7 linked regions of the Rattus norvegicus genome follow. The protein of the gene in region 6 interacts with the protein of the main gene of each other region in a pairwise test. Links are inferred from orthologs where the notes say so. Each region holds a gene or a part of one and is shown on either strand. Other genes may lie near its edges. The genes, in order: Ywhaz, Sptan1, Pafah1b1, Gripap1, Exoc1, Disc1 and Ppm1e.

What was found.
Region 1: the proteins of Disc1 (region 6) and Ywhaz interact in binary tests that used the Homo sapiens proteins (3 or more experiments, as listed by UniProt). The link is inferred for Rattus norvegicus from reciprocal best matches to the Homo sapiens genes DISC1 and YWHAZ.
Region 2: the proteins of Disc1 (region 6) and Sptan1 interact in binary tests that used the Homo sapiens proteins (3 or more experiments, as listed by UniProt). The link is inferred for Rattus norvegicus from reciprocal best matches to the Homo sapiens genes DISC1 and SPTAN1.
Region 3: the proteins of Disc1 (region 6) and Pafah1b1 interact in a two-hybrid assay, tested with the Homo sapiens proteins (2 studies listed by BioGRID and IntAct). The link is inferred for Rattus norvegicus from reciprocal best matches to the Homo sapiens genes DISC1 and PAFAH1B1.
Region 4: the proteins of Disc1 (region 6) and Gripap1 interact in binary tests that used the Homo sapiens proteins (3 or more experiments, as listed by UniProt). The link is inferred for Rattus norvegicus from reciprocal best matches to the Homo sapiens genes DISC1 and GRIPAP1.
Region 5: the proteins of Disc1 (region 6) and Exoc1 interact in a two-hybrid assay, tested with the Homo sapiens proteins (2 studies listed by BioGRID and IntAct). The link is inferred for Rattus norvegicus from reciprocal best matches to the Homo sapiens genes DISC1 and EXOC1.
Region 7: the proteins of Disc1 (region 6) and Ppm1e interact in a two-hybrid assay, tested with the Homo sapiens proteins (2 studies listed by BioGRID and IntAct). The link is inferred for Rattus norvegicus from reciprocal best matches to the Homo sapiens genes DISC1 and PPM1E.

What each region holds. Positions count from the first base shown.
Region 1 is NC_086025.1:69,845,903-69,850,147, forward strand, and holds the start of Ywhaz (14-3-3 protein zeta/delta), read right to left. Parts: upstream 2,801-4,245; 5' UTR 2,751-2,800; intron 160-2,750; 5' UTR 149-159; coding exon 1-148.
Region 2 is NC_086021.1:33,698,069-33,701,228, forward strand, and holds part of Sptan1 (spectrin alpha chain, non-erythrocytic 1), read left to right. Parts: intron 1-474; coding exon 475-684; intron 685-1,037; coding exon 1,038-1,334; intron 1,335-1,467; coding exon 1,468-1,580; intron 1,581-1,930; coding exon 1,931-1,948; intron 1,949-2,939; coding exon of another isoform or gene 2,940-3,002; intron 3,003-3,160. UniProt on the Homo sapiens protein: Fodrin, which seems to be involved in secretion, interacts with calmodulin in a calcium-dependent manner and is thus candidate for the calcium-dependent movement of the cytoskeleton at the membrane.
Region 3 is NC_086028.1:60,048,697-60,052,196, forward strand, and holds part of Pafah1b1 (platelet-activating factor acetylhydrolase IB subunit alpha), read right to left. Parts: intron 870-3,500; coding exon 785-869; intron 551-784; coding exon 476-550; intron 1-475. UniProt on the Homo sapiens protein: Regulatory subunit (beta subunit) of the cytosolic type I platelet-activating factor (PAF) acetylhydrolase (PAF-AH (I)), an enzyme that catalyzes the hydrolyze of the acetyl group at the sn-2 position of PAF and its analogs and participates in PAF inactivation.
Region 4 is NC_086039.1:17,377,789-17,381,776, forward strand, and holds the start of Gripap1 (GRIP1-associated protein 1), read right to left. Parts: upstream 2,801-3,988; 5' UTR 2,782-2,800; coding exon 2,740-2,781; intron 746-2,739; coding exon 679-745; intron 560-678; coding exon 498-559; intron 1-497. UniProt on the Homo sapiens protein: Regulates the endosomal recycling back to the neuronal plasma membrane, possibly by connecting early and late recycling endosomal domains and promoting segregation of recycling endosomes from early endosomal membranes.
Region 5 is NC_086032.1:32,011,328-32,015,261, forward strand, and holds the start of Exoc1 (exocyst complex component 1), read right to left. Parts: upstream 2,801-3,934; 5' UTR 2,670-2,800; exon of another isoform or gene 2,456-2,669; intron 1-2,455.
Region 6 is NC_086037.1:69,910,488-69,914,775, forward strand, and holds the start of Disc1 (disrupted in schizophrenia 1 homolog), read left to right. Parts: upstream 1-1,488; 5' UTR 1,489-1,643; coding exon 1,644-1,698; intron 1,699-4,288. UniProt on the Homo sapiens protein: Involved in the regulation of multiple aspects of embryonic and adult neurogenesis. Required for neural progenitor proliferation in the ventrical/subventrical zone during embryonic brain development and in the adult dentate gyrus of the hippocampus.
Region 7 is NC_086028.1:72,681,747-72,685,962, forward strand, and holds the start of Ppm1e (protein phosphatase 1E), read right to left. Parts: upstream 2,801-4,216; 5' UTR 2,681-2,800; coding exon 2,226-2,680; intron 2,216-2,225; exon of another isoform or gene 1-2,215. UniProt on the Homo sapiens protein: Protein phosphatase that inactivates multifunctional CaM kinases such as CAMK4 and CAMK2. Dephosphorylates and inactivates PAK. May play a role in the inhibition of actin fiber stress breakdown and in morphological changes driven by TNK2/CDC42.

The sequences.
Region 1 (4,245 bases), on a different chromosome or scaffold from region 6:
TTTTATAAGCAACAGAGAGAAGGTTCCTCTCCTCGTTAGACAGCTCGGCTCCTTGCTCAGTGACAGACTTCATGCAGGCTGCCATGTCATCGTATCGCTCTGCCTGCTCGGCCAGCTTGGCCTTCTGCACCAGCTCATTTTTATCCATAACTGGATATTCTGCAAGGTGAACAAGAGAAACACTCAGAAAACTCCTGTGAAAAACACACACTCGTTATACCTGTCGTAAATAAGGCACACCAGCATCTCAAACCTAGCTTGAGGAATTAAAACACCCCCACGCCCCCAAACCAACCAGAAAACTAGCATAGTCTGAATATTAACAGTGGGTTAGTCAAACTGCATGTTCCAGATGTTCAGAAGATCCCAATTTCAAGTAAGATCAAAGCATATATGGACATATAAGCTACTTAAAAACCCACCTCTATTTTCTTTGGCCAAAGTATCACTTGATCCTAATACCACTAAATGACCCACTTGAGCAGCGTTCCCTCGAGTGTGTGAATGGGGGTGAAGGGGGTTGTGGGTAGGGACCCTCGAAATGTGTGCATGGAGGTGAAGGGGTTGTGGGAAGGGACCCTCGAGTGTGTGCATGGGGATGAAGGGGTTAGGGATAGGGACCCTCAGGTGTGTACATGGGATGAAGGGGTTGTGGGTAGGGACCCTCAGGTGTGTACATGGGCATGAGGGGATTGTGGGTAGGGACCCTCAGGTGTGTGCATGGGCATCAAGGATTAGGGTAGGGACTGGGATCTACAATGCTTATGAAGTGCATACCTACAGAATCGTGAGTCATGTCAGTGTAATGTAACTCATATACTCTAACCTTTATATGTATATATTCTTACCAAGAGTGACTGAGTTTTATTTAGCACCTCCCCAACCCTGATCTACTACACTTGTAACATTTGCCAGCTGATCATGGAATAAAAATTATCTCAAGATAATTGGCTAATTGCTGCTTAAGACATCTTGAACACACTACCACTAGGACTCACTAAAGCCAAGACCAAATCTGTCTCTATATGGCATTGTATGACCTCTTGCTTCAGCACACACCCATACTTCCTACTATGAGTGTGCACTGAGTCTACAACACACGGAAGGACCCGAGTGCTTCCAATGTCTACCGCATTATTTCTAGCTCGAGTCACAGAAGTACTCAAGCTCTTCTTTTTCATAGTTTCTCAGTTTTCTTTTGCTCAATTTCAACGATCTCTAGATTCCAATTTACTTATTTCTTCAACCATGTCAAGAGCAAGATTCTAAATCATATAGTGATCCCACAAAATATAAAGAAAAAGTCACAACCTGAAGGCACATCGAAAGGCATAAGAGTCACAGCCGCCCACCATGGAAATTATCAAATCCTTTCCTTTCCCTTTCCAGAAAGGACGACCTCTTTTTGGTTGGCCAAACGAGCAGTGTCCAGAACAGAAACACGGAGCTAGCTTAAATTCGAGACACAGTACCTTCAGTGCATCAACTATTTAAAATTTGTGAACCCATACTTCCCCCCCGGGGTCTCGAAATCTAACATCAGAAACCGTCTCTGGTAAATGTTGCTTCCAAAAAATGATGTAAGCCCAGTCAGTACAAACGTTCCTCTGCCAACCTCCCGTATAAGGGGAAGTGGATTAGGTTTCTCACAGGAAAACTAGTGCTCCCGGACCTCGCCTTCAGACTGCGGGAATACTCGCCGCACCCACTTAACCCTTAGCTGCCCGAGGCCGGCGGGTGGGGCGAACCGAAACCGCGCAGCGGTGACTTTAAAGCGCTAGTCCTGGCGTCCGCGCCATCCGCAGCCACCTCCCCTCCTTGGCTCCGCCCAGGCTGGTGCCTCCGCGCTAGTCCCCGACTCTCTTTGTCATGGCGGAACTGTGTCAAGGAGCCCAACCTACTCCGACTGTGAATCCCCCCCCCAACCCGGGCAGAGGGTGGAGCAGTCCGCGCACCCGCCCCAGTCGGATGGTGGGGGGGGGGAGGGAGAGCGACTCACCCTCCCGGGGGCCCGATGCCATCCGCGCCCGCAGAAGCGGAACCGCGGCCGACCCGCGCCGGACACACCCCGCTCCCGCCCAGGGTCCCCTCCGCCTGTGTCCGACCGGAGTCCCGAAGCCCGGACAGCTGCGGTAGGGGGAGGGGCAGGGCCCCACCCAGACAGGCGCAGCCCCCACTAGGGGGCCGGGGCTCCGGGAAGGATGCGCACCTCCCACCGGCCCGGGACGCTGGGGACCCCGAGCCCCTGTGACCCCATGCCTAGCTCTGGCCGCGCCCCTCCCCCACCGCGCGCCCCGAGAGTCCTTTCCGGCATTGCGGGACCCAGCAAGCCCAACTCAGGGTCCCCGACGAGCCCCACCCCAGCGCCCCGCATGCTACCTGGCTGCCCCCCGCGTGGGGGAGGGGTGGCGGGGGTACCGCGGGTGGGGGCGGCCTCACCTGCGCCACGACCGAGTCACAGTCGCGGGCGGAAGCAGGGTGCCGGCGGGGGCGGATCGCGGTCGCCCTGGGGAGTAGGAGCCCCTGGGTATCGCGCGTGGGCGCCTGATCCGCCACCCCCACCCGGGGACCAGAACGGGGCGATGAGCAGCCGGGCAGGCCAGAAGCAAGCGGCCGGGGGCGGCGGTGGGCGCCTGCCCGGGCCCGGCGGAGCCGAGCCGCCGCCCGGGTCCTCCAGGGGAGACCCCTCTCGGCCCGCAGCGCAGCGGAGGGCTGAAGGGAGCGGAGGCCGACTCAGGGCGGCTTCTCACCTGTGTCCGGAGTGGGTGGCGGCACACGGACCCGGCTCGGCAGTCTCTGGGCGGCGGCAGCGGTGGCGGCGAGGCTGAGACTCTGTCCCTGATCTGGCTGCTCACAGGCTACAGCCGCTCCGCAGACACGGGGTTTCCTCCAATCACTAGCCCCGGCAGCAGGGGCACCACACGCACGATGACGTCAAACGCTGCTATGGCAACCGTTGATTGGTGCCCACAGTTCTCCGGCCCAGCGCAACCGCCGCTCCCCTGCGCGCGCCCGGCCGGCCCGCCCGCGCCCGAGGGCGAGCGGAGGAGAGCGCGTACCCGCGCTCCGCTCCGCTCCAGACCCTGCCTTCACCCGCGTGCTCAGTTCTCTCCCCACCGCCCCCGCGAGCTGCCCTCCCTCCCCGCCCCTGCGGCCCGCGGAAGGAAGCCTCTCCCCGCCCCCACCTCTACTGGCGGGCACATCCGGGACCTTCGCATCTCCCCACCCCACCCCCTCCCGCCTGGCCGCCCTCTCTCTGCGCTGGTAATGGCGGCGGGCAGGCTGCAGGGCAGGGTGACAGCGGCTCTACTGCCAGGGCATTGTGATCAGAACCCCGGAGCAGGGCAGCGGCCCCGCCGTCGCGGGGCGGGGCGGGCGCGGTTGCTCCCTCCCGCGGTCCGCTTTACCTGCCTGCTGCAGGAAGCGGCCTTAGACCTTTTAAGGCTTGGAAAAGCGCGAGGCTGAATGACGCCCTGCCCTTCCAGTCGCGAGTTCGGCGTCCGCACCGTGACAGCCTCGGGGACAATGGGTGGTCGCTGGGAGGAGCGGGGAAAGGGTTGGGTTTGCGAGTTGGACGTGATCGTAGAAGCCTGACTTGGGGCGAAGCGGGGAAACAGGCTAGAACACACCGAACTGCTCTTCATGGTCTACGCTTTTACCCTCCGTAGGGCTTTCATTGGGAGACGCATCGTTCCTAACTAACGCATTGTAAGAGTGTGACCCTTTTAGGTTCTGGAAGCAAGGTTTGGGAGCGTGGTCGTTCCTAGGGCCCTAGTGGAGGAGGAGCAGCAGGGCTTCTACGCCCGGAAGAAGGGGGGGGGGAGGAAAAGGGCGGAAATTGCAGGTGCCTGAACCCACAAGGTCTCCACCCAGGAGACGGAAGTTGAAAGGAGATGCAGTTTCTGTATGAAGTATCTGCTTTTGCTCCTTTTAACTGTGCTCCTCTGAGCTAAAACATTTTTTGGGGGCTACACTAAGCACAACTGAAAAAAGAACCTCAGGAATTCGGCCCAGAGCTCTCTGGAAGACTTCATAACAAGCTATTCTTTCCCTACCACTGTCTTATCCGTATGTTGGATACATTGTCTGAACCACAAGCTTGTTCTACAAATTATAACTTGCCTGAAATGACAGCTAGCTAAAGATTTGCCTGTGACCAGTCGCTCCCCTCGCCAATCACCCCCCCACAACCCGTTTCCACAGCAATAGATTCATAACATGCTAAGCAGATGAGCAAATTAATGC
Region 2 (3,160 bases), on a different chromosome or scaffold from region 6:
CAGTTGGCCTTCTGTATGCATGGCCATGGTCAGACAATAATAAACACTTCAGTCCTGGGCCTCAAAGCCTCCAGAGGGGAGAATGGGTGCAGAACCAGGCACATGTGCAGTAGCGAGATGGGCTGCAGGGCTTAGACACAAGGTGCCTGCCATTCTGCAGCAGACAAGCATCTGTGGGAGTCACTGAGCGTAAACTCAAAGTTCTTAGGTGGGAATGACTGGTCTGCCCAGAGCCATACATGGCCTTGCCCAGAGCTTCAATGCTGGTTTAACAGAACAGTTTATTTATGACCAGAGATGAGACCATTGCCACAATCTGGGGTCTAAGGCAGCCAGGAGCATAGGCATGTGTGACTCGATGCTAGTAGGACATGGAGCGCTAAGTCAGCCACCAGGTGGGCATCTCCTGCAGTCTGAGCTCAGGCACACTAGACTCTGTAGTCCATGTCATTGCCTTGTGACTGCTCTTTGCAGGAGACATTTGATGCTGGCCTGCAGGCCTTCCAGCAGGAGGGCATTGCCAATATCACTGCCCTCAAAGACCAGCTGCTAGCTGCCAAGCACATTCAGTCGAAGGCCATCGAGGCCCGACATGCCTCCCTCATGAAGAGGTGGACCCAGCTGTTGGCCAATTCAGCTACCCGCAAGAAGAAGTTGCTAGAGGCCCAGAGTCATTTCCGAAAGGTAAGGGTAAGAGTCATCTGGCCAGTATAGTGGACAGTAGACCCATGTGCCTCTGCCTGGCTGTGCCATCACCCTGTGAGGAAGAAGTAACCTCAGCCCAAAGGAGTTGAACGTGGCACCAAAGTCAGTGGAACCCGAGGCACGTGGAGTCCTTGAACTTGCCCTGGAGAATTTATCCTTGACCCTCCCAGGATGAGCACAGCTTGTGCCAGGGAGCGGCAGGCAGAGGACAAGTTGGGAAGATTGTGAGATGGGGCAGAGAGACAGACCCGCAGCAGGCGCTACTCTGATTCCCAGAAACTTCCTCACCCACAAACGTGCCCACCACTGACAATTTGCCCTTCTACTTCTAGGTAGAAGACCTCTTCCTGACCTTTGCCAAAAAGGCATCGGCTTTCAACAGCTGGTTTGAGAATGCAGAAGAGGACCTCACAGACCCAGTGCGCTGCAACTCTCTGGAAGAAATCAAAGCCCTCCGAGAGGCTCATGATGCCTTCCGCTCATCGCTCAGCTCTGCGCAGGCCGACTTCAACCAGCTAGCCGAGCTGGACCGTCAGATCAAGAGTTTCCGAGTGGCCTCCAATCCCTACACCTGGTTCACCATGGAGGCCCTGGAAGAGACGTGGAGGAACCTACAGAAGATCATTAAGGTGTGCCACTGCTCCCTGCCCCTCTTGCTTAAGTCCCACTGCCCTTTCCCAAGGTAGAGCCATGTTTATGCTGAGCCCATCTGAGGCCAGATGTCAGGAAGCAACAGGAAGTAGCAGCTCCCTTTTGTCTCAGGAGCGAGAACTGGAGCTGCAGAAGGAACAGCGGCGGCAGGAGGAGAATGACAAGCTACGCCAAGAGTTTGCCCAGCATGCCAACGCGTTCCACCAGTGGATCCAGGAAACAAGGTGCCTGCCCTCTGGGGCTAGCCAGGGAACATGGTGCCCCTTTGCAGCTGCATGCCAAGCCTCTAGGGAGCTTGTTAGAGACCTGGTGGGTGGGGGGCTGCTTGGACGAGGACTGTCATGTCTGATTGGGTCCAAAGCAAACGTGGGCTCAGCACGGTTCATTTCACCAAGGGTGATGTTGGCACTTGCCCCAAGTGAGGTAGAACAACTGCCCGAGGCCCCGTCATCCTGGCACCCAGGCTTGGGCAGAAGAGTACTAATGTCCTGTATTTTGTTCTCTCTTCTACATCGTCCCGATTGCTGCTGTGTGTGGATACTGCCATGGCTCCTGGACACTTGGATCGCCATAGAACGTATCTCCTCGACGGGTTAATATTGCCTTCTTTTCCGGGCTTGTGGTGTGGTGGTGTCTTGTGTGCTTGTCCCTTTGTCCCTTGTCCCCAGTGGCCTGGCTTGCAAAAGATCCCAGGATGGGCCTCCTGCCCACCTTGTCCATGCCCATTTTCCCTGCTAGAAGAACCCATAGTGTTGCGGGAGTCACCTCCCCTCTTTCAAGGTAGGGACTAGCTGTGGTGGGAAACCAGAGTCAGTCTGAGAACCCTGTCTGTGCCTGGCCACCAGAACTGGATTGCACTTGCCTGTTTTCCCATAGTGACCAAAAAATTTGCATTACGCCCCAGAGGTCAGTGGGCATATAGAGCTGGGTGGCTATGCTCAGAGCTTAGACTGAGGACAGCGTCCAGTTGAGGGGAAGCTCTGCAGCCCTCTTAGGACTGAGGTCGTCCTATCTTACCCCTGAGGAGAGTAACCAGGATTGTTTATCCGAGAAAAAGGCAAATGTCCAACGTTACAGTGTTACAGAGACAGGGCTTGGAGGAGCTGCGGGAGGAGCAGGGCTGTCCCCTAATCCCAGTAGGAGCCTGTATGAAGGGCCCCCACTTCAGCCCCCAATCCATTCGTGCTACTAACTAATCCAGACAAGAGGCCTAACAAGAACCTATGGCCTGTGAGATTCTGCAGAGGGGAAAGTCAGGCATGTAAAGAGATAATGACCACAGAAATCTGCCAAACCATTCAGGCTGTAGGAGGCTTTGCAAGGTGGGAAGGATTGCAGCATCTGGACTGCCTACCACAGGCTTCCCCACCCTATGCTGTCTGCTGCTCTTGGTCTTGTTTCTGTGCAGTGCCATGCTTCCTCACCTGTGGCTCCTCCCAAGCCTTGTCCCACCTGGCCCACCCCTTGAGCTGCCCCTGGTTCCTACCCAGTGCCAGGCTTCCAGCTGTGGCACGTGTCTGTCTCGATATGCTCTTGCCTCGCCTCCTTTTGGTGTATTCATTTGGTTTCTTTTCTTTGACTAGCATAGCATATCGTCGGGTCATTCGTGTCTATCAGTATGAAGTTGGGGATGATCTGTCTGGAAGGTTCTTCTCCTCTTATTTCTCTTCTTCCCTCACTGTGGTTTTACCAATGCACTCTGGACTCCCAGGCGGCTGCTTTCTAACCCACACCCTAGCCACTTGGGAGGAGGGTCTGTCCCCCTCTGCTGCACTGGCCCTGGCCCTGCCTCCTGCCCCGTCCC
Region 3 (3,500 bases), on a different chromosome or scaffold from region 6:
TTTTCCAGTTATAATTAGTTATGTCCTTCCAAGGCATTGGTTCTCAACCTCTCTAACGCTTCGACCATATACATCCTTGTATTCTGGTGACCCACAACCATAAAATTACTTTTGTTGTTACTTCCTAAGTGTAATTTTGCTACTGTTAATGAATTATAAATACCTGATACTATAGGTTAGCTGATATTCAACCTCAAAGGGGTGCAGTGCCACCCACAGGCTAAACAGCACTGTTCTAAGGACACAAATGATTCCTTCAGCACCAATTTCTCAGTCAAGACAATGCAAGGTTAAACCTCTAGACTGTTTAATGTGTATCAAAAATAACCTTAAAACCAAAGTTTTCATGAAGCAAAGAAATGTATTTTTTTTTAAGATCAACCATGAGTATCTGCAGATTAGTAATTATGGCAATATTTTCAGAAAATTTATAAGTAGACATTGAATACAACTGACTTAAGAAAGATCTAGTTACCTTTTTTTGTAATCTAATAACAGATGTCCATTTTTTTTCCAAAAGACCAGCATACTTCTTATCTAATTCTTCATTCTGGAAGAGAAAAAGATCTTTTAAAAAATGGCTTAACAATGATACCTTTAAGACAAAACATTATTAAATATTTGACTATACAGAAAGTGGGAAAATTAAGCTCAACACTAAGTAAATCACAACAAATGGCAAAATTTAAATAGCTGAATTGACCTACTGAACCTTAAGTAAAACTTAACTCATTAACTACACTATGAATAATTAGAAAAATGATAATTATACAGTCAAGCATACCATATCTAGTTCAGCTTCCTTTTTAAAAACGGAATATGCCTCTTCATAGCCATTTGAACGAAGATAATCTGCTATAGCTCGATTTCTGAAAGAAAAAAATTAAAATGAGTCCTAAAAAGACCTTCTATTTGAAGAACTACACTTAATAATTTTTTGGGGGGTGGGGTTGGGGCAGCCCAAGGACAAGTTTCTCTGTGAAACCCTGGCTACCCTGGAACTCACTATGTGAGCCAGGCTAACCTCAAACCTGCCTTTGCCTCCTGAGTACTGGGATTAAAGGTGTGTACCACCACTGCCCAGAGTACTAAATTATATAAATATTTCTGGAAATAAAATAGACATACTTCCAAAATTCAAAAACTTAGGTACTGTTACAATTTATCTGTATTGTTTTTTAGCATCTTTTCTTTTTTTGTTATTTTCAGAGATGCAAGGGACTGAACTCAGAACACTGTACATGCTAGGTAAGTGACCCGCCTCTGAGCTCTAGTCCTGGCCTTTGCCATTTTATCACTTTCTAACTTACTGCTCAGCTTGTAAACTGCAGGCACTCCACAGATATATTTCTATACCTAGACATCAATTGTTAAAGTAGCCATCAGTTTTTCTAGTGTTGACATTCACCTTCTCTTACTATTTGATAAACATACTCAAGCATTGGAGATTAGAATTGAGTTTTGCACAGAAATGTTTTAATGAAACTCTACTAAGAATACGAAGAGATGACTAAGTGGTTATAATTTCCTTGCTGTGCAAGCATGAGGATTGAAGTTTATGTCTCATGTAAAGGGCTGAGTGTCCTATGCCAAGTCTGTAGCACAAGGATATGTAGAAAGAGCCTGTCTGGGGCTTGCTGGCTTCTTGACTAGCTAAAATATTCTAGCTCCAAGTTGAGAAAGTAACCGTCCTATTAAAGAGGAACAGGTAAAGAGTGTTGTCTCCAGGCAGACACACATGCATACACCATAAAAGTATCTCTCAGGCACAATACCATCTCCCCCTAAAAAAAAAAAAAAAAAAAATTATAGTAAATATTTTAGTATTAGAAATAACTCTGGGGGGGTTGGAGAGATGGCTCAGTGGTTAAGAGCACGGACTGCTCTTCCCGAGGTCCTGAGTTCAATTCCCAGCAACCACATGGTGGCTCACAACCCTCTGTAATGAGAGCTGATGCCCTCTTCTGGTGTGTCTGAAGACAGCTACAGTGCACTTATATATAAGAAAGAAAGGAAGAAAGGAAGGATGGAGGGAGGGGAGAGGGGAGACAACTCTAAATGCCATGCAGTGGTGGTACATGCCTTTAATTCCAGCACTAGAGACCAAGACAGGAGGACCTGGAGTGTAAGGCCAGCCCATGCTACATAGTGAATTCAAAGCCAGTTTGGACTAGGCATCACTGAAAGACCTTATTTAAAAATGAAGCCAGGCAATGGAGGTACATGCTTATAGTCCCAGGACTCAGGAGGCAAAAACAGGCACATCTCTGAGTTTGAGGCCAGCCTGGTCTACAGAGTGAGTTCCAAAACAGCTAGGGCTAGAGTTAAACTCTGTCTTGAACCCCTGCCTCCCCGAAACAAACAAACAAACGAAAGAAATTAAACTATTTTAATACACTAAAAATGCACAAGCTACAAACAGTATATTGTCTTAGAATGACATTTAGAATTCTAATTAAAGGCAGCAAAGTTGAACTATATTTTCATGCTTCTTTTTCATTCTGTCCTGACAATATTGGCAAGCATCTGTGCTCTCCTATTTCAACATTTCCCAATTACTGTGAGCCTTTCGTCACAAAATTATAGAAAAGGTTGATTTAGGAGTCCTCTGTTTAAGCCTTTAAACTAACTTAAGTAGTTAAGAAGTTAAAAGTCATGGGGTTGGGGATTTAGCTCAGTGGTAGAGTAGAGCACTTGCCTAGCAAGCGCAAGGCCCTGGGTTCGGTCCCCAGCTCCGAAAAAAAGAAAAAAAAAAAAGAAGTTAAAGTCACGAATTAAACAAAACGTAAATATACATACAATAACAGTACATCCTTTAGCCAATTTTATTTTTTTGTGTGTACTGGCCAGCCTTGAATTTACAGAGATACCCCTGCCCCTGCCTCTGAGCATTGGGATGAAAGACATGAGCAACCATGCCTGGTCCTCTCTGCTTTTGTAAGACAGGATTTTGTGAATCCCAGGTTAGCCAGAAACTAAGGATGACCTTGAACTTTTGATCCTAAAGGCATGAGTCACCATACCTGGCAGATGTAAGGCACTAGAAATCAAATCCAAGGATTGTGCATGATATATCCCTAACCCTACTTAATAGGTCCATATTGCCAATTATATCTAATATTTTAACATAGGCAATCACTATTGTGATTTACATGTTTTCAGAGATAATCTACCTAAAACCTATAGTATTTTAGATTCTGAATTTTTTTCCTGAGGCAAGGTCAAACTACAAAGTCCTTGTTGGCCTGGAATAACTCGATATAAATTCTTCTTGTTCCATTTAATTTTGATTCTATTTCCATAAAAGACAACATGAAGTCAAATGAAGAATCATTATATAAAACGACTCCTTTTTTTCCTTTTAAAGTAGGAGCTCACTATGAAGCTTGGAGTAGCCCAATACTTAAGATCCTGTCTCAGGGGCTGGAGAGATGGCTCAGCGGTTAAGAGCACCCGACTGCTCTTCCAGAGGTCATGAGTTCAATTCCCAGCAACCACAT
Region 4 (3,988 bases), on a different chromosome or scaffold from region 6:
TCTGTCTTGTAAACAACAAAAAGATCACGTTTTAGCCTTTTGGCTAAGATCAAACATGGAGAGCTTGTCTAGCATGCATGAGATCCTAGGCTTGATCTGTAGCACCGCAAAAACAAAACAAAAAGTGAATGAAAATGAATAAGCAATTGCTATTAGACTAAATTAAAATCAATCAATAAATTAAGCAAAGCCAGGCATGTCAGCACACATCTATATTCCCAGCACTTGGGAGGCTGAGGCAGGACAATCAAGAATTCAAGGCCAGTCTGGGCTACATAGCAAGATCCTGTCTTAAAAGAAACACACGCAAAAATTAAGTAAGATTAGGTTAAAATTAGCCAACTGAAGAAATTTCTGTGAAAAAATACTTCAAATGACTATAAGAAAGCAGCATGTGACATTAGGTCTGCTTCGGTGTAGGTGTGTTCACTGGGAATGAGTCAGATGGATAGGGGCGAAGCAAGTGGTGGGTGGATGGGGTAGGCGGAGGGAGGTACCTTTTGAGCTTTACTGAATTCCTTATCCAGGTAGGCGACCTTCTGTCGAAGACTGGAAAGTTCTGGTGCAGGGAAAGCAGGGAATCTGAGCCTCAGGCGGTAACAAGGAACTGAAGGGTCATCTTATCAGGCCTCTATTCCCCCCAAAACCACCCCATCTAATGAGACGCTCTTGGCTCACCAACACCATTCTTCCGGAGTTCATCTGAAAGCTGGTAGTTATTTGTCCGGAGTTCCAGGAGCTGTGTCTTTGGAGGATCCAAGAAACAAAAATATTTGTCAGGAAAGCATTCTTACCCCCACATGAAGCAAACAAGCCCCTAAGTCCTAAAGATTGGACTGCTATCGCCTAAGCACTTCCTTCGTTGCTCCTTAAGATCTTTGGATACTGGGGTTGGGGATTTAGCTCAGTGGTAGAGCTCTTGCCTAGCAAGTGCAAGGCCCTGGGTTCGGTCCTCAGCTCCGAAAAAAAGAAAAAAGAAAAAAAAAAGATCTTTGGATACTGTATTCTTAAATGGGCAAGCAAGCCCTGAACCCCAGCTCCACCTTGTTCAGCTCCCCCTGTAACCACACTGTCCTGCCTAGACTCAGAATGCCCCTTTGGCCAGCAGTGGGGGCCCAATTCTTTCCCAAGGAAAGAGAATCTGGTCTTTCTCCTTCCCAAGTTCCATGAGTCAGGGGGATGCTGCTCAAGGTCCTGTGGAACTGTCAAGGTTTTCAAAACAAGTGAGAATCCCCTTAAGTATAGAATTAAGAGGAAGTGCAGCATGGGCCGCCTCACACAGTCCATGTATATCTTCCAACCTTGGAGAGCCCTGAATCTGATTCTTCGCAGAACCACCCACTGTCCCCTACCCCTGTTTCTATATCCCTCTCAAAGCACCAGCTCCACCTCTCTCAGCACACTGGTTTGCTCCAGATCAGAAGGCTTAGCTATTATAGGATCTTTCTTGTCCTGGTCTCCTCAAGACCCAGATATCATCTCTCCTAATCCTAGGCCAACTGGAATACCTTTCTACCCACCTTGAAGTCCCTCTCCAAAAGAACCCAATAGTTTTTCCTTACACATTGCCCAAACAGGATAAACCTTCCATGTTCAAGTATCTATCTACCCACTCTTCACAAGATGTCTTTAGTCATGATCCAATAGGGATGACATTATGTCTGTCCCTCAGGATCTCTCAAATACCCTTGGGTGGGCCAGTTGAACTAGTCTTATTCAGAATCTTCTGCAATTTACAGCGGTCCTCCCCATTTATGGTCCAGTGAACTCACTCTTAGATCCTCAGTATCTCTCAAGTACAACAGCTAACTCCCGGGTCAATGGAATACTTCTGCTCCCTCAAGCATTCTGCCCCCAACCTACAGGACTCTAAGGCTTCCCCATTTCAGTCTTTCCCATTAATGCTCTCTCACAAAGTATCCATTCATTGTGCAGTGCTATCATCCCTCTCAGGATGCCCTGAAAAGGATCAACAGGTCTGAGTACCAGGTCAGACTACTCCCCCAAACCCAGTGATGTCCCCTTTCCTGAACTCCCCAAATATCAGTTTTTAAAAATATCCTCTGGTTCTTCCTCTAATCTGGGTTAATGGTATTACCCACTCAGAATGCTCTTCTCCCCAGTTCTAAAGGAATCACCCCAGTCCATGAAATTATACCCCTCCCTCCCTACCTCCCTCCCTCCCTCTTAGGATCTTCTACCATCAATGGCACAGCAACTCTAGGGAATAGATTCATAGACTTTCCCTACTCCCCTAGCCTAGTGGTATTGGTATCTCCCACAAACTTTCCACCTCCCACCAGTTCATGGTCTTGTCCTGTCAAATCACCAACCAGCGCCCCCCCCCCATGACGCAAATGGCCAAATGCCTGCTTCTTCTCTCTCCAGACAAAATAATTTCTCCTCGAAATCTCCATCCTTTAAAGTCTAACATCATCACCATTTAATGGTATGCCCTACACATGAACCGAAAGGTCTCACCCCGAATCCGGACTGAGAAAGGATTCGCCTAAAGACGTTCTACATTCCCTACAAGGCTAACAGAATTCAACCTTCAGAACCCACGTAGAATCTTCGAAATCAATAAGATCGCCACCCAGAGCCTCAGTTTCCCTTCCCCAGACCACCCGCTTATACTTAAGACCCATCCCAACCAAATCTTCAGAACCGACGGCATGTCTTCTCTCTACCCCGCCCCCAGTCTCCTAGACGGGTGGTCTTCCCCCCATCCAGCGGCACCTGCATCCGTTGAAACTCCTCTTCAGACAGAGCTTGCGCCATGTTCCTCCCCCCACCCCCCGCAAGCTTTGTGCGCAGCCGCAGCTTCTGCGGCCTGTCAGTGCTAAGGTCGGAGCGAACCACTGACCAGCAATGGAGGGGAAACAAACTAATTCAAATGTTCAGCATTTTAGAGAAGTAGAGAAGGCAATGATGCTTAAAGTTCATAAAATTTTTTCTTCGGTTTTTACAAAATTGTAAATAGTTTGTAAATTTACAAAATTGTAAATAGTTTTGAGCATTTATAGATTACTCATTGCTATGTGACATTATGGTATCCCTGTATCATGAGTGGACTCGTCGAGAGGGAAGTAGTCCTCCGACAGAAAATTAACCTTCCGCGAAGCTCCTTTAAAGAGAAAGTGACTTAATAACCATGGAAATGAAAGCGGAAGCTTCCTCGGGTCTTGTTCCGGCCCTCCTAGGGTGACCCCAAAGGGGAATCCCGCCTCGCGTAAAGTCCTTGACCACCCACCCCTCATTTTTTTTAAAAAACGATCTGACAATGATTTTTATTAACACAGTGCTCATGTTAGGGAAAAGATCTAGTCATTGAGAAAGCTAAAAATTCGTGAGAACAGTAGCAAATAAAACAAAAACAGAAAACCCCATTACAAGTAAAAACAAAAACTAGCTCCATGAAAAGGTTTGATAACACACTCAAGGTTCTGGATGTGATCCCCAACACAAAAACAAAAACGAAAACACCAGAAAAAAAGTATTTAAATGTGTCCTAAGTATCTCAGATCTGAAAAACACTGTTGCTCATTGTATTCTTATAGAAGTGAAATTGTTTTCCTGCTGTGGGAAATATATTGAAGCAGGACCCTTGTAATTTGAAAGATGTTATTGATAGATGCTGTCTCTCCATATAAATGCAGTCATTTAAAGGGTACCATTCAATAACTGTTCTGACGCCTATGTTGTCATAATCCACTTCCATCCCCCTTAAAGGTTCTTTCATTCCACCCCTCCTCCTACAGCCAGAGCAACATTGTTTTTCTTTCCGGCTGAACTACATTTGTCTATTGTAGAACTTCCTTCAGATAGAATGCGATACAATGTACTCCTTTTGTATTTCCTTTTCTTTTTCACTTTTGGCTCTCACAATTCACCCAAGTTGTGCTGTTATCAGATGTTTTTCTCTTGTCAGTGGATAGAATGTCCTATTATCCATATGCCACAAGTTGTTTATTCATTCTTTTAGTGT
Region 5 (3,934 bases), on a different chromosome or scaffold from region 6:
AGGACACAAGTCCAATCTTGTTAGTTTCCAGAACTCATTTAACAAGCAGTGCATGGGGAAGCCTGCCTGCAACCTCATGCTGGGGAGGCAGAGACAAGCAGATCCCTGGAGTGCACTGAGCAGACAACTTCACCTATGGTTGGAGCGCCAATCTGGTGAGAGACCACGCACAAGAAAAGGGGGCGTGGATGGTGCTAAGGAAAAACATGTGCAGCCGCCCTTTGCCTATTGCAAAGATGCACACCAGAAACCCAAAAGGTTTCATACCATCAACCACTTGGGAAATACGACTGACATCTGCGGCAAGAATCCTACTTTCAACTGCTGGGAAGGCTAAAAACCCACAGGACACACAGCAGTAAGCAATGAGGAAGGGGCCTCCCCCACCCAGCTGGGAGGATCACAAATGGCAGGGAGGCTTTAGAACAGTCCTGCAGTCCCTTCTGCAAGTCAGGCATGCAACTGCTGTTATGATCCAGCCCCCGTCAACCACGGATTTAAAAAATGCCCTTCAGCTGGATCTTACGGGGGCATTTTCTCAATGGCGGTTTCCTTCTTTCAGATGACTCTAGCTTGTGGCACACCCCTTAATGTGCCCTAGGGCCCAGGTGTGACATTAAAGCGATACTCTATCCTATCCTCAAACTCAAGTGGACACTGCAGTTTACTGTACTGTCTCTGGGCTTTGTTCACTATTTTCCTCATTCTGAAATTCTTGTCACTGCAAATTCCAACTCACCCTCAACCATTCTGATAACACACTGCATCTTCTTTGAAGCCTTCCTCCTCTTCTGTTCCCCAGCTTACCTCTACTGGCAGCAGCTCTCCAACCAGTGTTTTCTAGCTAGTGCACTCTAGACCCTACTAAAAGCAGTTCTCTCTCGGCAAGGATCTCATCTTATCCATCTTTATATTCCTAGCATTTGCCACGAGGCACACAGCGAGTGCTTAGTAAACATTTAGGGAAATACTGTTGCACTCAACAACAGACCAGGGATAGTTCCCTCCAAGTTACCTCTTTCCAACTTTTGAATCTATAAGAAAACAACCCAGACTCAAACTCTGCCCTAGTTCATTGCTTCCTCCATGCCAACGTGAAATCTGTTAGCGTACGCAGTGACTTCTCCATCTACATATAATTTACTTTTCCCCCATCTGGCTACCAAGCAACCAAGATTTACTGCCTTTAAGTAATAGCACCTGTTACCTTTTTCTTTTTTTAAAGTTTCTACAAGTTCCCTGAAAAACTAGTAAATAACTTTAAACCAGTCCTCATTATACCACTGTTCTCAAGCCATGCCTTGCATTCAAAGCACTGTGTTGTTTCTGACTTGAAATCTTTGGTTAAGCACTTTCCCATGCAGGCCAGATTATCTTTTCCCTATTCAAACGTACATTTCTCCATTTGGATGAAGCTGACTCAGTAAAAGTCTTAATCCTCATTGCTCTTCCCATGCAAATGTCTAGAGCACTTACTGTATTTACGAGACAAGTGCTTGCTATCTAATGGGGACATGAGTATCATCTCCTAGGTCTCCACAGTCATCTCTTGGGAGGAGGAGGAGGAAGAAGAGGAGGAGGAAGAAGAGGAGGAGGAGGAGGAAGAGGAAGAAGAGGAAGAGGAGGAGGAAGAGGAGGAAGAGGAGGAAGAGGAGGAGGAGGAGGAGGAGGAGGAGGAAGAGGAGGAGGGAGGGTGCTCTAACACAGGTTTGTGTGTTGGGTACTTACTACAACCTCTTGGTGTAACCTGTTTTATTGAAACAGTAAAAACTGGTAAACAGAACAATTAACTCAGGCCAATATTCACCATACTAAAGACTCCGTGCATGGTAAACAGCCAAACAGCAGAGGACTGGTTATAACTCATAAAAGAAATTAGACGTAATTCAACAAATATTACTATTCACTAAGTGCCAGGTAGCACTCTGGGGGTATAGTGGAGAATCTGAAAGACATGAATGGGATGATGTAGAATTGTAACAGTCAGTCTTCTTTGGGGTTAGTGATGAATTCTCCAATGTTTATACAGAACTTTATATTATGCCAGTATTATTAATAGTGGCCTTCACAACTATTTACCAAGTCTAAAACCCACGCCCATATTCTGGGTTCTCTTTAGTTCTTCGCCTTCTAAAACCTCAAGGCTGCCCGTTACAGAGGCAGCTAACCTCTGTTCATCGCGTATCTTACTTCCTGCACCTTGATAGGGCCATCATTACACTGTGTGTCAGTGCAAGTGCCTTAGTGGGTTGGGCCCATCTACTGCAGTGACATCTCAAGACTTGTCATCCAAAAAACGAAAACTGCTCAGAGGCTGGGCAACGCCCTTTTAAGATTTATAAGGACATATTTGTTGATTTGGACCGGCAGAAGCCAGGTCACGTTCTCCTCTCCCAAACCACGCTAATTTGGCAAAAATGAAATCTGTCCCGGATGGGCGGAACTGAGGACTGACCCTAGGCTGCCTCCGGGCTCCGTCTTCTCCCAGAGCCCAGGACAGGAAGAAGTAAGGACTCAGTCCGGGCTCTGCAGCAGCGGTTCTGCAGCCCTGGAGGGCAGCAGGGTGGGTGGGCCGTGTCACTTGGGAGTGGCCGACCTGACGCAGATTGAACACTGCCTCCACTTAGGCTACCACCTCCAGGACCGCCGGTCCCCGGCCGGAAGCTTACCGCGAGGCCGGCCGGCCGAGGTTGGTGCTCCAAGACGGACTCTACAAGGGCGCCGGCAGCAAGAGCAGCTATGAAACGCTTTTCATTGAGCTGGGAAAAGAAGCGGCCAGAAGCCGCCACTTCCCGTATCCGGTCACGTGCCGCTCTGTACCGGAAGTTGATCTTGTGGAGCCGGAAACGGAGACAATGGAAGGGAACAGATTGACCAATGGACTTGGAGGAGGTCGAACGTTGCCTTGATGGGTGGGACCGGGCCAGACAGTGGGCGTGGAAAAGGCAAGGACCGAACCCGCAAGCTCGTAGACTGGTGGTTCTCAACCTGTGGGTCTTTCGCGGTCAAATGATCCCTTCATAGGGGTCACATATCAGATATCCCATATATCAGATATTTACATTACAATTGATAACAGCAGCAAAATTACAGTTATAAAATAGAAATGAAATAGTTTAATGGTTGGGACCCACTGCAGCATGAGGAAATGTATTAAAGGGTTGCAGCATTAGGAAAGTTGAGAACCACTAGCATAGATAACCACTGATTAGAGGAGTTGATAATGGTGGTATTTTCTTTTTCTAGATGTACCCATTCTGATATTTGTGGCAAATCATTTGAGAGCTCATTAAATGTTTTCTCCTTTGCATATGTAAAATCCTGTTAACTCTAGATTCTTCGGAGCACTTCAATGAGTTAAGTCAGAATCTCTGGGAGAGGAACCTAGACATCACTAGTATCCTTAATTTCTCCCCACTTAATTCCCATAACGTGTTTAGGTCTAGAACCATGTCACTTACGCACTTCATACTCTACCGGGCGGACTGCGCAGACCTTCCTGGGTGCTTTTTAGAAACTGCACCCGCCGGCTCACATCAGATACTGAAACAGAATCTTTGTTTTAAAGGTGATACTTGTTTCAGTGTGAGAGGCATGAATGATGCCAAGATTGTGAGCTATAAGACAAGTGATTCATTTAGGCCACATCCCTGGCAGGGATTGAGTGCTGGGAACTTTGATTTCCAGGTACAAAGGCCATTCAAGCTTTAATTCTATACTGAATGAGTTCATAATGAGGTAGAACTAGAAAAGGTGATTGCGAAGGCAGGATAACATACTCTACCAGGATGATCATCTCCTCCTCCTCCTCCTCCTCCTCCTCCTCCTCTCCTCCTCTTCCTCCTCCTCTCCTTCTCTTCCTCCTCCTCTTCCTCTTCCTCCTCCTCTTCCTCCTCCTCTTCCTCCTCCTCTTCCTCCCCTCCCCTCCTCTTCC
Region 6 (4,288 bases):
CTGCAGGATTCTGCAGGACCAGTATGTTCTCTCTCTCTCTCTCTCTCTCTCTCTCTCTCTCTCTCTCTCAATTATTTGTTTATTTTTTTAAATATTTATTTATTATAGATAAGTACATTGTAGCTGTCCTCAGACACACCAGAAGAGGGCATCGGATCCCATTACAGATGGTTGTGAGTCATCATGTGGTTGCTAGGAATTGAACTCAGGACCTCAGGAAGAGCAGTCAGTGCTCTTAACCACTGAGCCATCTCTCCAGTCCACAGTATGTTCTCTTAGCTGTCAGGCCAGCTTCCCGGCCCGTTTTAAGACAGTTTATGTTATGTATTCAGAGATATTCCTAGCGATCCTTGGGTGCAAGTCAGAGATACCTGAGAGCATTCAATGGCAGGCTGGCCAATTCATCTGCATTTGCTATGGAATACCTCTTGGGGGAGGAGAGGGTTAATTTTAGCTTACCACTTGATCACAGGCCACCACTGAGAGGAGCCAAGGCAGGAGCCTGAAGGCAGGCCTGCTTACTATAACACACAGCATTAACCTCCAACCAAGAGCTCACCTCACTGCCAAGCAGGTACAGCAGGAACCGCAGAGGATGCTGTTTGCCAGCTGGCTCATAGATGGGCTTCAGTTCAGTTAGCTTTCTTGGTTAGTTCAAGACCTAGGTAATGGTGCCGCCCACAGTGGGCTGGGCCTTCGAAGGCCAGTTAACTGTCAAGACATTTCTTACAGACACAATCTGCCCTAACCCTAGCCCTGGGCTGTGTCAAACGGACAGGTAAAGCTAACTAGGACACTGACAGCCCCTTTTCCAACTGGATTTTCACTAAATCCAGACTCTCTGCTCATGTCTTTATCAACTTCAAGCCCCATCCACCCATGCTAACGTTAAGGCTCCTGGTAACAGGCAACTGGCTGCCCCACCTCTCCAGGGCCTTGTCTTCCAGTGGTCACAGGTTCCTCACTTCCTGTAGAAACTCTCCCATGCTTCTTCCTAGCGTCCCACTCCTCCCCCACGTTCCACCCACAGCCAGGCCTCCTGGCTTCAGGCTGACTACTCCCCACAGTTCAGTTTTGTAGGTTTATTTTTGCCTCCGGGTCCAGAGGGCCAGGTTACCCGTGACTGGCACTTCCTGGACCCAGTGTCCTGTAGCAGGTGCTTTGCTGGAGCAGCCAAAGGGAAGGGATGGTGGAGGTGAGCCAGCTGCTAGGAGCTTGGCACAGGCTTGTGTGCTCCTGGCCAGCCCCGCGCTGCCAGCGATCCTCAAGTCATTTTTAACAGCTGCTCCCACCCCCCAACCTGTCATCTGTCACTTGGTAGGAAGAAGTCCCTCTCTTGTCCACCCTGCCTTTTACTCCCAGGGTCGGGGAAGCGCCCAGTTTTTCGGTCCCTGGTCACCCTGCCCCATCACACTTCCCCTCCTTGGTTTCCTTCAAGTGAAAAGCAAAACTTTCTGCGCGCTGCGGTCTGGGAGCCGCGAGGGGCGGCGCGCGTGTGCGAGGGGGCCGAAGCTGGAGAGGAAGCGGCGGTCCTGGGCAGGAGGAAGGAGCCAGCCCTCGGCTCGGCCCCCTGCCCGTTTCCCGCCGCCTCCGCGGTCGCAGTCACCACCGTTGCCGCCGTCCGGAGCGCAGCCAGCCGCACGATGCAGGGCGCGGGTTCCCGGGGCGCTTGGATCCACAGTCCGAGCCACTGCCCAGGTAGGGCCCGGGGTCTGACGGAAGGCGAGCGCGGCCTGCCGAGATCCGGGCGCACCCCGGTGCGGGGGAGGGAAACCGAGGCAGGGAGCGGGGCGTGCCGGGTGCGGGCTGTCGCGTCTCCGGCTGCCACTGCAGCTCCCGTCCAAGCGCGTCCCCGCTGGGGGGAGCCTGGCGGCCTGGGGCGCAGTCGGTGGAGGGCGGCGTCCGCAGCGCCTGAGTGCAGCTCGGTCCTGGGACTCTCTCTCGCGTGGCCGGCGCGGACCCTGTGGGGACGCAGGGCGAGGTTGGGAGAGGTGTGGGAACTGCAGCCCGCACCTCCCGTGGGGCTGCTCGCCGCCCACTTCCGAGTGTGGACTGTGACGCGCAGGGCAGCGCAGGCTGAGGGGACCCACTCCATTTTCCCCCGTCAGCATGGGCCACCTACCAACCCTAGTGATGACATCGAGTTAAGTGGGCGGCCGCTTTTCAACAATGACCTCCGCAACTCACTGTCAGAAAACCAAGGAAATGAATGTGATGGCGCACGCCTCTGTTGCTAGTACGCAAGAGACTGAGCCAGGAGGATTGCGGACACTTTCTAATACAGCCTGAGACGCTATCTCAAAAACCCAAATCAAACCAGAATAACGGAAAAACAAAGCAAAGCAAAACAAAACAAAAACAAGAAAAAAACAAAAACCAAGCAGGGAGCCCAGCTCCAGACTGGGCTTTGCAGTTTGGGCGTGCCGTGCTGAAGGAGAGAGGGCAAGGGACTTAGGCTCTTATTTTAGCTCTTGGAGCCTCAGTTTGCCCATTTGTGAAAGGGGCACTAGCCACCCGCTTGCCTGTCTCCTTAACTAGGTTCTATGAAGAATTTTTTTTTTGCAAATGGGAGTTAGAAAACACAGGGTTGATGGGTGAGTGTAGGGTGAGAGTCTCCTGCACATGCGTCCTAGACTCGGGCTTGCCTCAGTTTTTCAATTTGCAAAATGGAGCTGATTTTCCTCCCGACTTGGTCGGGTTTTTAAAGGGTTTAATGTGGTAGGAGGGCATTAAACCCCTGGTTTAATGTGTCTGAGATACACAGCAAGCTCTCAAAAATCTTTTAGTTGCCCAGGTTAGCCTTAAATCCCCTGCATACCCTAGGCTGGCCTCCAATTCGCTAGCCTTGGCCTCCCAAGCGCTGGGATTACAGGTGTGCTCCACTACGCATGGGTCCCTAAGTATTTATTTATTTTTTTGACCGTACAAGACCTAATAATTACGGGTAATACAGGAATGCCAGTGTGAGTTAGTTAGCGTCTGAATTACAGGATATTTTAAAAGACATTTGGCATCTGATGTGGAGACTGTCAAGGTTTAGCCAGGACTCTGCTCACAGCAAAAAGAGCCCTGGATGAGAACCCTGCATTCTGAGCTGCCTCTCCCAGCCTCGGTTCTCTCTTCTGTTGACAGAAAGAGAAAGCACCGTTCACACTGAGTGTTGCCCTAGGATCAGGAGAAGCAGAACATCTGGAACTGGGGCTGGTGCCACCTTTGCAGAAAATGCATGGGCCAGGCACCTGCTCCTGCCCTAGGATGAGGTCCTCCTCAAACCTGTGAGGGCTGGTGCTACCATTCTCATCTTTTCTTCCATGAGGCAAGGGCTAGTCACCTGCCTGTGGCTTTGGTTGTTAAACAAGGACTGAGGCTCAGAAACCAGGTGCTGGTGTCTCCAATCACTGGCTGAAGGGAAGCCATGAGGTAGAGCCCAGGTTGAGAGTAGACCTTTTCTGGTCAAAGGCAATGCTTGGTCTGTTTCTGCCTTTTATACCTATTTTGTCATCTATCTATCTATCTATCTATCTATCTATCTATCTATCTACATCTATCTACCTCTATCTATCATCTATCTATCTATCTCTCTATCTATCATCTATTTATATCTATCATCTATCTACCTCTACTATCTATCTATTATCTATATGTCTATCATTAATCTATCATCTATCTATCTAACATCTATCTAACATCTATCTACCTCTATCTACCTACCTACCTATCTATTATCTATGTCTACTATCTATCTATCTATCTATCTATCTATCTATCTATCTATCATCTATCTCTCTCTATCTATTATCTATGTGTCTATTATCTATCTATCTACATCTATCTATCATCTATCTCTCTATTATCTATATGTCTATCATCTATCTATCTATCTATCTATCTATCTATCTATCTATCTACCTACCTACCTATCTCCAGCCATCTGCTTACCTACCTACATGCAGTACTAGGGACCACACCTAGGACTTTGTGCAATGCTAGACAAGCAGGTGAGCACTTCAGCACACCGTCCTACCTCTAGCTGGCATTTTTCATAATTGCAGACCCTAACAAAATGAGAGTAAATCACAGGAAGAACTTCGCCTTCCCCCTAATGTAATATTTTTATTGATTATTTGGGAATTTTATACAAATGCAATGCATCCCACCCCACTCACTTCCTATTCCTGCCACCCTCCCACCTTTGTGCCTCTCCTCCCCTCAACAAACAAACATCACCAAATTCAATTTGTGTCTCTCACACAGTCATTGTGTTGCTCCCAGTGGCCAGTCCCTTAGA
Region 7 (4,216 bases), on a different chromosome or scaffold from region 6:
GGGTCCCCAGGACCCCTGTGTCAGCAATTCACATCAGCCTGTAACTGCAGGTTCAGAGAATTCTCCACCCGTGGCTTCCTTGAGTACCTGCACTCCCATACACACACCTACGAAGAGGCACATAATTTTTTTAAAAACCTCACTTCGAAGTATTTTCTCAGACATTTGAGGACAACATTCCCACTGTGGCAGGTGTTTTGAGAGTCAGAGATTTTGTGGGGAAATGTTGGAATTGTTTCTACATGACTCGTTTTTGGTTTTTGTTTTTTCAAATCTGCATAGGGACTTAGTAGCCTCACATGTAAAATGAAGTGCTTGAAGAGAAAAATGGCCTAACACTGAAACCAGCTGGACCTGATTCTTGTCTAAGTCTTAAGCTTTTTTTTAAAGAATAAAATAAAAACTAAAAGTGTCATTACATATTTTAAAACTTTTAACCCACTAAGGACCTTATAGATACTTTACATAAATGAGCCAGCCATTTTTATCTTGACTAGCATCAGAACAAAATATAGTACAAAGTCTGGTTTTATGTGAAGTCAGAGTATAAGTGTCCAATTTAAGGGGGAATAATATTTTCTAACGTCAATTTTGCTAGTTTTAACTTAAACACAAACTTCCATGCTCCATTGGTGACCTCCTTCTCATTGTGATCATTTTTCTAATTGATATGTACATTAAGATTAATCTGGTTTCCTCATCACATTAAAACACAAACCACCCACATCTTACCATTTCATTCTGCACATCTCGGTTTTAAAAGCCTTGAAATGTTCAGGACTGTACTACATTAACAGCAGTAGGGGAGCATCCTCTTAATCCTTAAGCTGTCCCTACAATTCTGGAAGTGTATATGTAAAAGTAACAACTGCCCAGATAGTACTAGCCTGAGCTAAATTTCTGCACCTTGGCAAATATGTCCACTATATTTAAGTGTCTGAATTATGTATTTAAAAACTGGCATTCTGTAGGTCTTTTTCTTTGATATTTTACAAAAGAACTACTCTAAACCATTAATGCTGTTTATCCCCAGGTGGTGGTATTACACGCCATTTTATTTTTGCATTTCCCCAAAACACACTATTCCCTTGGTAACTGGACAGTATTTTTAAATTAATTACTAGATGGTTTATAAATGTGGCATCCACACGGTTCAATTCTACAGATCTGCTCAGTGGCTTTTCCCTTTGACAGGCTGCTGCTTTTAACAGGAGAATGGTTTGATCAGTTGTCTACGAGGTCAGATGAAGACAAAATAGCTTTCTCTTCTTGGCCCCCCCAGGCTTTAGAGAAATCCAGGAAGTGGGTTTAAACTTAGCTTGCGATAATAAACTTTTTGGGTGGTCAGAGTAACACCTTTCATTACAACTATTAGCTGAATGTCAAAAGACTCTCTGGTTTACCGGTGTTTGCTGAGGCATTATTTCAGAACAGTTCCATTTGGAAAGAAACGCAACTGTAAACCGTATCTGTTCCAAGCCCATAAAAAAGCAGAACTCGGATGAAAGGCAAAGCCTTGACCTTTCTATTTTAGACTTGCATCTGGGTAGCTAAGCCATCTGCTTTTCTCCCACCTCCCACCCCATCTACTTAATGGACTGAAAATACTGCACTTAATTGCAATTTTACCCAACCAGGCTGACTCTTCCGAATTATGACCCCGTCTTTTCACCTAAAGGCTTGCTCAGTAGGGTTTTACTTAACACTTCCTTCCCAATTCCCCCCTACCGCTCTATATTATGAGATGTCAAATGTCTGTAAAGTATGATACTAGGCTCTCACGTAGGAAAGCCATCTATCGAGCCACCACGGTGAGCGCCTAACAGAAAATCCAGGGGTCTAGGCTCCTCTGGACACCGACGGTATTAGCTTTGTGCGGTTATGCAGAAAGGCACCTCTTTCAGTCCATAAAGGAGTCGCGCGTCCCCGCCGCCCAACAAGGAACACAGCCCGGGAAAGGACAGACAGACGAAGGTTGGAGGAAAACCCCCCCGGAATAAAGGCGCTGGGAAGAATGGGAAGCCCAAGACTGGAGGGAAGACCTTGACAAGAAGGCTCCGGAGAAGGGTGTGCGAAGTGGCGGAGAGGGTCAGCGAAGAGGGGCCAGGGGCAGGAGCGGGGACCCCGCCCGGGTGCCTCGCGGGGACACGGGTGGCGGGGACAGGGACCCAGGCCAGCCCCCCCGGGGATGGCGGCCCACCCGCGGCCGAGCCCCGCTACTTAACTATTTGTAGAGCTGCTGCAGGCACAGGTCCAGGCTCTCGCCCTCCACCTCCTCTCGGGTGATGCGCTCCGACAGCGGCCGCGGGAGCGGGGGCAGCGGCGGCAGCTGGGGCTGCGGCGGCGGCACGGCCGAGTGCCCCGGGGCAGCCGCTTCCTCCTCTTCCTCCTCCTCCTCGCCCTCGGCCGCCGCCTCCTCTTCCACCGCCTCCTCTTCGGGCTCCGGGTCTTGGTCCTGCACCCCCTCCTCGGCCGCCTCTACCGTCGCAGCGTCCTCCCCCGGGTCCTCCCCCGAAGCCTCGGCCGCCTCAGCCGCGACCAGCTCCGCTTCGGGCTCGGGCTCGGGCTCGGATTCGGGTTCGGGCTCTGGCTCGCCGCCGCCGCACGGTCCGCGGAACTCGCCCAGGAACAGCTCCAGGAAGCGCCGGTAAGTTTTCTCCTCAGGGATGCAGCCCGCCATCGTTGCTCATGCCCCGAGGTCCACCGGGAAGGGGGTGGGAGGTGAACCCAGGAGGAGGAGGGGGCTGCTTCGGAGCCTCGCCTCCCGCTACGGAGGGGGAACGGCCGCACCGGCACCGGCGATCAGCACTGGGTTGCCTGGAGAGGGCTCCCGCAGGCGTGCGCGCCACCGAGCTCGGACGTGCGCGGCCCGGGGGCGGGGGCGGAGCGCGCCACCCCTCTCCGGTCTGGAGGGAAAGTTGGTGGCGGGCGCGCGCACAGGGTCCAGCGGCGGCCCACCCGCAATCCCTACCGAGAGCTCAGCCCACGCTGCCTAGAGACTGTCGCCATGGCAACCGGTTCTAATTAAGAATTCCAGGGTCCCTCCCGTCGAGTCTGTGGAGTGCTAAGGACACTGGACTCCTGCACTCCAACTTCGAATGGTCTTTGTTGGGTGAAGACCCTAGTTTCATGTTAAGCATCTCTGTGGGTTCCATCAGGAGTGTACTGACTTCAGTTTCCTTATCTGCTTGCCTTGCCTTAGTATATCTCTTGATACGATAGCACACAGTAAACACCTTTTACTGAAGACATGCCTCGAAAAAGTAGAGGTGGGGGCACAACCACCTGAAAGGGTAGTTTCCTTTGCCCAGGTCCTTTCATTTGATTCTATGTATCCTCCTTTCTCAAAAAGATGAACGTGTGAAATAAAATAGGAATTCGCTTGCTTTAAAGTCAAGATTTTAGAGCTGTGGCATTGGCGTTAGCGCCCAGATCTAAGTCTCCAAAGCCTTTAGAATCTTTCCCCTTAACTCTGCTCTATGAAAATCTGTGCCTCGTATCCACACAATGTCATATTTATAAAGTGCTTTTCAGTTTACACGTGTTCATCTCTAATCCTCACTACAGCCCTTTAAGGCAAAGGATATTACCGTTGTGATTCTGTTTTACAGATGAGGAAACAAACCTTAAAGACAGTGACTTTGCTCAAGGTCAGAAGCAAGCGATGCAACAAGAATTCAATCCTGGTTGAAATGGTAAATTTCACTTGTAAGTTTTCCATCACCCTAAAACCTCCTCCTTGGCTTCTGTATAATGCGTGTCAGTATACTACATTATTCTATCATATAATTTGTATTTTTGTCTATATTTTGTTTGTTCTTCCCCACCACCTCCTGTGTCTCATCTTTACCCCCCCCACTCCAAACTAGAACTGAAATGACTTTAAATTATTCTAATTTTCTTACCAAACTATACACAAACCTATTATTTCCAGGCTTCGTGGTGCTGATGTTGGTGGTGGATGCTTGGAGGGAGTTGTGTTATACAGCTGTATGGATGATAGCATCATTGCCGCGTACTGCCGTGTCCGTGGCAGCATGTAATTCCGCACAAACATAGTGATTTTTTCCCCCTCTGCTTTGAAAAAAGCACACACTCACAAATTATCCACTCCATCACTCCATTTATTGTTTCTGGGTTTCAGCTGGATTTAGGATCTGAAATACCATTTCCAGTCAGTTATTAATGACAGAAGAGGGTGTGTTCTCACCAACTG